2 linked regions of the Oryctolagus cuniculus genome follow. Each later gene encodes a partner of the first gene's protein in a complex. Links are inferred from orthologs where the notes say so. Each region holds a gene or a part of one and is shown in the gene's direction. Other genes may lie near its edges.

Region 1 (4,204 bases):
TCCCCAAATGGCTGCAATGGCCAGAGCTGCACTGATCCAAAGCCAGGAGCCAAGAGCTTCTTCCAGGTCTCCCACATGAGTGCAGGAGCCCAAGGACTTGGGCCATCTTCCACTGCTTTCCCAGGCCATAGCAGAGAGAGGGATCAGAAGAGGAGCATTCAGGACTAGAACCGGTGCCCATATGGGGTGCTGGTGCCACAGGCCAGGGCTTCAACCCGCTGCACCACAACGCTGGCCCCCAGATACATAAATCTTAAAAAAAAAAAAAAAAAAAAAGATGCCAACCAGAGCTCCTGCATCCCACATGGGAGCGTCTGGGCTCACTCGTGGTTCCTCTGCTGCCCTTCCAGTTCCGTGCTAATGAGCATCCTGGGACACAACAGGTGATGCTTGGGTCCCTGCCAACCACGTGGGAGACCTGGATGGAGTCCCTGGCTCCAGGCTTTGGCTTGGCCCAACCTTGGCTATCGCAGGCATTTAAGGAGTGAACCATTGAATGAAAGTTCTCTCTCTCTCTCTCTCTCTCTCTCTCTCTCTGTGCTTTTCAAATAAAATGAAATCAATAAAAAAAAATTTTTAAAGCCAGAAACCAGGTCTGTTGAGGAGCCAAATACCGGGACTGTTTAGGAACAGGCAGAACCCGGTTCTGGTCCTGGTCGCCAGCCCAGGCTGGGAGGGAGGGAAGCCAAGGAAAAGGGAATTTCAAGTTTATCGGCAAGTTCAGCGGCAAGGGTGACACCAGGGGCAGGAAGGGCAGGACCCTCTCCAGGGGAGTGGACGTGGCTCGCACTGTCCCCTCCCCGCTGGCTGAGGAGGGCGTGCCACTCTTGCACTTGTGCTAAACAGCACCAAGCCTGCCGAACTTTGCACGACCCAGCCTGCGAGACGGGAGGCCAGGTTTATATCTGCTGGGAACAGGGGCGGGGCCACCTCGAGGGGCGGGGCTTTGTCTCGCCCCGCCCCTTCCCGGAGCTCCGCGTTCCGCTGCGGTAACCTGTGGACCCGGCAACGGACAGGGCTCGCAGCCTGCCAGATCCTAGAAGACAGTGAGCGGGAAGTCGTGATTGGTTCTCCCCGAGGGGGTGGGCGGGCCCTCCGCCTGCCCAGTGCCCTCGCCGCGGGGAGGCGTTGCCGGGAGAGGCGGGGGGGGGGGGTCTGAGAGGGAAGGGGCGTGGCCGCACGCGGGCGGCCGTTGGCAGCCCGGCCCCGCCCCGGATGGGGGCGTCACGGGGCCGAGGCCGCGGCGATTGGCCGGCGCGGCGCGGGGGGCGGGGCGGAAGGTTCTGGAGGGGGCTGGCGGGCTCTGGAAGCTTCCGCCGGACGGGTATATAGAGTCGGGCCGGGCGGCGGCGGCGGAGCCGGGTACGGCGGGGCCGCGGGCGGGCGCCATGGGCAAGGATTACTACCAGACGCTGGGCCTGGCCCGCGGCGCGTCGGACGAGGAGGTGAAGCGGGCCTACCGCCGCCAGGCGCTGCGGTACCACCCGGACAAGAACAAGGAGCCCGGCGCCGAGGAGCGGTTCAAGGAGATCGCCGAGGCCTACGACGTGCTGAGCGACCCGCGCAAGCGCGAGATCTTCGACCGCTACGGGGAGGAGGGTGCGTGCGCGCGGCCGCGGCGCGCGGGGAAACCGAGGCACGCGCGCCGCCGGCCGGGGGTGGGGGGCTGCTGAGAGGGCCCCCGGCGGGCGGAGGAGGAGCCCCGGCTCGCCGCTCGCGCAGAAGCTTCCAGCACGTCCGGGCGGCCCCTCCCTGGGTCTGCACCCGGTGCGGGCCGGGGCGGGGGGCGCGGCGGGGGGCGGCCGGGTCTCGGCCTGCCCAGCTGCCCGTCGGTGACTCACCGGCTTCCGGGCTCGGTCCTGAGCCAGTAGAGTGTGTTTTTTTTTTTTCCGATCATCAGGGCAGCGGCGATTGGTGCTGGGACGGGAGAGCTTCAGAAAGCTTCCGGGGTGTCTTTGGTTGGCCTGCATTTGCCCACGTTCTCTCTGGGCTCAGGGGACGTGGCCGCCGCTCTTCCCCCCTCTCCCCCACCCCGGGTCATGTCTGGGTCTCTTGGTGGATTCTTGGGAGGATCAGCCGGGAGCAGGCAGGGGCCGGGCCTTGGTGGCTGTCACCTGCGGGCCGAGGCCCCCAGTGTCTGCAGCGGCAGGTGCAAGCTTGGGGTCCGGCCCTCGGCGGGCTGAGAGCAATCCCGCCCCGCCCCCTCACGTCCCTGCGTTTTTGCTTCGCAGGCCTGAAGGGCGGCGGCCCCTGCGGGGGCAGCGGCGGCGGGGCCAACGGGACGTCCTTCAGCTACACGTTCCATGGCGACCCGCACGCCATGTTTGCCGAGTTCTTCGGAGGCCGGAACCCCTTTGACACGTTCTTTGGGCAGCGGAACGGGGAAGAGGGCATGGACATCGACGACCCGTTCGCCGGCTTCCCCATGGGCGTGGGCGGCTTCACCAACATGAACTTCGGCCGCTCGCGCCCGGCCCAGGAGCCCACCCGCAAGAAGCAAGACCCGCCCGTCACGCACGACCTCAGGGTCTCCCTGGAAGAGATCTACAGCGGCTGCACCAAGAAGATGAAGATCTCCCACAAGCGGCTGAACCCCGACGGCAAGAGCATCCGGAACGAAGACAAGATCCTGACGATCGAGGTGAAGCGGGGCTGGAAAGAGGGCACCAAGATCACCTTCCCCAAGGAGGGGGACCAGACCTCCAGCAACATCCCCGCCGACATCGTGTTCGTGCTCAAGGACAAGCCACACAACATCTTCAAGAGAGACGGCTCGGACGTCATCTACCCGGCCCGCGTCAGCCTGCGGGAGGTGAGGCCGCGGGGGTGGGGAGCCGTGGGGGTGCGCTGGGGGCGGGCGGGGCTCCCCAGGCTCTCGCGGCTGACCGCTGTCCTACCCCCCCCCACCCCCGCCCAGGCCCTGTGCGGCTGCACGGTGAACGTGCCGACTCTGGACGGCCGCAGCATCCCCGTTGTCTTCAAAGACGTCATCAGGCCCGGCATGCGGCGGAAGGTGCCGGGCGAAGGCCTGCCCCTCCCCAAGACGCCGGAGAAGCGCGGGGACCTCATCATCGAATTTGAGGTGGTCTTCCCCGAAAGGATCCCCCAGACGTCGAGAACCGTCCTGGAGCAGGTTCTGCCCATCTAGCGCCCCCACACACCCACCCACCCACCGCCCCCGCATCATCCGGGCGCCGCCGGCCCCAGGGACCTCGCCAGAGCTCAGCGTCTCCGGCTACCCCGGCACTCGTGGACCGTGAGAGGGCGGGAGGGCCCGGGAGCCTGATCCTGCTCTATGTTTTCCAGAGAATATATTACAATCTTTGAAAGTCGTGCACTCGACTGTGCTGGTTTTTCGGGCGGCGGAGCGGCAGGTGGTGGGCAGAGCAGGACGAGGCCCGCCCCGCCCCACGCTCCTCCAGACACCTCCCCCCCCCCGCACCTGCAGCTGGGTCCTGTGCTTTGTCTCCCCTGCTCCATGCCTCCCCCCACCCCCACCCCCCGGCTCATCCTGGCCATCTCAGGTGGAGAAAGCTAGACTCTGCAGAACTGCCCGGCCGGCGCCCACAAGCAATACCTTCCTCTTTCCAGCGGGACCACGGGAGCCCGGGAGCTCACGGAGACGGGGCCCAGCCGTGCTTTGCCGAGAGCGAGCTCTGGGCAGCTCCGGGTGCCCTTTCTGTTCCATGGACTCTGGACTTTGTTTTGTTTCGTTTCGTTTTGTTTCTCTCTCAAAGGGATCTGATCCTTCGGAATTTTGCACAACCCTGGAGAGATGTATAGAGACATAGCTATAATCCCTTTTGATAAAAGGGTCTTTGCTCCCGATTGCAGGAGCCTGTAAATGTTTTTATAACTCCCCGTCAGGCCGGGGTGCCCCCAGACGGGCCCTGCCCTGCCCCCATGGCCCCGGGCGGAGGCGGGGTCTATTCCCGGGACACCCGTCTGGTGCTCAGCCCCTTGAGACTCATTGTACGTTGCCACTGCCGACATGAGACCAAAGTGTGTGTGACTTGTCGCTGTGCAGGGTGATGGCATTAAAGACTGTATGAGAAACCTCCCGGGAGCGGCCCTCGGCTCGTGTTTGGTTCTGGGCACCGGGTGGGGGGGTGCGGGGGGTGGGAGGTTCCAGCGGGAGGGGGGAGGGTGCCTGCAGGGGCGAGATAAAGCCCTGCCTGAGTGCACACAGCCAGAGCCTCCCAGG
Region 2 (2,946 bases), on another chromosome or scaffold:
AAGAACCCGAGTTCTCCTGGGGCACCTGAGAACTAGTCTGGAGTTTCTCAGGTGCCCTGGCGGGGGTGGGGGGGGTGGGGGGCAGGGACGTTCTAGGCAGATACCATATGCCAGGGTTGCTTTTTAGAAATAATAGTGGCACCCAAGTAAGAATAAACCAAGAAGTTAGATGTGAGAGTGACTGTCAGGTGTGCATGAGGGAATTGGCCAGGAGGGCTTGTTACAAATAAAAATTGCTGGACCACATTCTAGAATTTCTGGTGTTACTGAAGTAGGGCCTGAGAGAGTGCATTTCTGAGTGGTTCAGGTGATGCTGATACAGGGCTGAAGAATCACACTCCAGAGATACTGGTGTCACCATGGCCATAGCACTTCTGTTCCCGCAGCTGACAGGCCCAGCTGCAGCCAGTCCTAGCGTATTGGGAAGCCTACACTGTCTATGTGACTATGATGTGATATAAACCATACCAGGCTCTTTTTAAAATTTGTTTATTTGAAAGGCAGAGAGAGAGATCTCCCATCTGCTGGTTTATTCCCCAGATCCTATAGCATCCAGGCTTGCCCAGACAAAAGCCAGGAGCCAAGGGTTCCATCCAGGTCTCCCGCATGGGTAGCGGGGACCCAAATACTGGAGTCATCACCTGCTGCCTCCCAGGGTATGCGTTAACAGGAAGCTGAAATGGAGAGTTAGAGGCATGATTCAAACCCAGGCACTGTGGTATGGACTGCAGGCATCCCAGTGGCAGCTTACCTGCCGTGCCTGTGCCAGGCTCTTGGTGGGTGCTGTCAGAGTTCTTGTGGCAAATGAGGAAACTGAGGCTTCAGTAGAGTCCCAGCTCACTTACCCAAGGTCGCCGGGTCGGATTGTGTGTGGGGAGCCCTTGAGTGGAGGGGGCCAGCTGGCAGGGTACGGGGTAGAGGGCATAGTGGGAGAGAAAGGATTTGAAATTGACAGGCCAGCCTCTGCCCTCATGAAAGCGATGTGGCCTTCTGCGTGTGCTGAGGTGGGGTCTTGCAGGCAAAGACGCACCCAGGCAAGAGAGCATCAGAAGAGCGGGCTTTTTTTTTTTTTTTTTTTTTTTTAATTATTTGAAAGGCAGCGTTACAGAGAGAATGGCACAGAGATCCTCCATCTGCAGGTTCACTCCCCAGATAGCCACAATGGCTGGGGCTGGGCCATGCCAAAGCCAGGAGCCCAGAACTCCATCCAGGTCTCTCCTGTGGGTGGCAAGGGCCCAAGCACTTGAGGTGGAGCAGCCAGGCCTCGAACCCGGTGTTCATGTAGGTGGCAGCCTAACCCACTGTTACATGCCGGCCTTAAGGAACAGGTCCTTAAAAGACTGAAGACCCTCTTAGTTTTTTGAATTTTTAAAAAATTTTAAATATTTATTTATTTATTTGAGAGGAAAAGGTAGAGAGAGGTCTTCCATCTGCTGGTCCGCTCCCCAGATGGCTGCAATGGCTATAGCTGCACCCATCAGGAGCCAGGAGCTTCTTCTAGGTCTCCCACATGGGTGCAGGGGCCCAAGGACTTAGGCCATCTTCTGCTGTTTTCCCAGGCCATTAGCAGGGAGCTGGATTGGAAATGGAGCAGCTGGGACTCCAGCCAGTACCCGGAGCAGTTTTACCCACTACACCACCGTGCTGACCTCTATTATTTTATTTGAAAGGCAGAGTTAGAGAGAGAGACAAAGACGAAGAGGTCTTCCATCTACTGGTTTACTCCTCAAATGGCTGCAACGGCCAGGACTATGCCAGGCCAAAGCCAGGAGCCAGGAGTTTCTTCTGGATCTCCCATGTGGGTGTAGGGGCCTGAGCACTTGGGCCATCTTCTTCTGCTTTTCCAGGCATGTTAGCAGGGAGCTAGGTTGCAAGTGGAGCAGCCAGGTCTTGAACTGGGGCCAATATGGGATGCTATTGCTGCAGGCAGCAGCTTAACCCACTATACCACAACTCTGGCCACTGAACTTTACTTTTTTTAAAGTAGCCACTATGTATTGAGCTAGGTTCGTTGTAGGTATTCTCATTATGACTCTGAGGTGGGTGCATCACCCCATTGTGCAGATGGGGACCTGAGTTGCGAGTGCAGTGCTTTGCCGGGCGCCCCACAGCAGCAGATGCGGTGGCACCCAGGCCTGGGCCGCGGCCTGCTGTGGTGCCTCATTGTCTTCTCTTGTGCCCCAGCTCATCACACAGACCTTCAACCACCACAACCAGCTGGCACAGAAGGCCCGGCGGGAGAAGAGAGCGCGGCAGGAGACCGAGCGGCGGGAGAAGGCGGAGCGGGCAGCCAGGCTGGCCAAGGAGGCCAAGTCAGAGACCCCTGGGCCCCAGATCAAGGAACTGACGGATGAGGAGGCAGAGCGGCTGCAGCTGGAGATTGACCAGGTCAGGGGAGCCCCCCGCTCTCCCTCCCAGATCCCCACTGGCATTGGGGGCCTTGTTGCCCACTGCTGTGTCTTTTACCACAGAAAAAAGATGCAGAGAATCATGAGGCCCAGCTCAAGAATGGCAGCCTTGGCTCTCCGGGGAAGCAGGTGAGGTGCACTGGGATTAGCCAGGGGCCAGGGGCCGCTCTAGCCTGCCGCTTTCTCTGGTGCTCCCTCCCCGTCTTTGAGGATTCCTCTGAGACAGTGGCCAAAGGACTGGGCCAGCAAAGGCAAACTCCTCTGGTCTTAAGCTTGGACACTGCAGCCTGAGGTGGGCTGGCTCCGTGACGTAGCCACGAGCTTTGTTCTGTGGGGTGAGATAGCCTGGGCTCTTCTTGGCAGATATCAGGTCAGGTTTTACCTCTGGTTCCCAGGGATCCAGGGCTTGGGGATCTGCCTCTCTGTTGAGCGGGCAGGGAGCAGGTTCTGCTTTGCAGCCCAGGGTGGGGTGGGGTCAGTCTGTGCCAAGAAAGTAGCAAAGCACCCCTGACCGTGAGCAGGAGGCGGAGGAGGACGA

The links. Proteins that work in one complex are often made in the same cells at the same time.
Region 2: the proteins of DNAJB1 (region 1) and NUDC are in contact, whole or in part, in a crystal structure (PDB 7NDX), measured with the Homo sapiens proteins. The link is inferred for Oryctolagus cuniculus from reciprocal best matches to the Homo sapiens genes DNAJB1 and NUDC. Residues at the interface, in NP_006136.1 of Homo sapiens: His166, Lys181, Lys182, Met183, Lys184, Ile185, Ser186, Asp201, Lys202, Ile203, Ile235, Phe237; in NP_006591.1 of Homo sapiens: Pro102, Gln103, Ile104, Lys105, Glu106, Leu107, Ala112, Leu115, Gln116, Ile119.

What each region holds. Positions count from the first base shown.
Region 1 is NC_091447.1:63,136,903-63,141,106, reverse strand, and holds DNAJB1 (dnaJ homolog subfamily B member 1), read left to right. Parts: upstream 1-1,280; 5' UTR 1,281-1,388; coding exon 1,389-1,599; intron 1,600-2,231; coding exon 2,232-2,812; intron 2,813-2,917; coding exon 2,918-3,148; 3' UTR 3,149-4,061; downstream 4,062-4,204. UniProt on the Homo sapiens protein: Interacts with HSP70 and can stimulate its ATPase activity. Stimulates the association between HSC70 and HIP. Negatively regulates heat shock-induced HSF1 transcriptional activity during the attenuation and recovery phase period of the heat shock response.
Region 2 is NC_091438.1:144,574,141-144,577,086, reverse strand, and holds part of NUDC (nuclear migration protein nudC), read left to right. Parts: intron 1-2,184; coding exon 2,185-2,388; intron 2,389-2,471; coding exon 2,472-2,537; intron 2,538-2,929; coding exon 2,930-2,946. UniProt on the Homo sapiens protein: Plays a role in neurogenesis and neuronal migration. Necessary for correct formation of mitotic spindles and chromosome separation during mitosis. Necessary for cytokinesis and cell proliferation.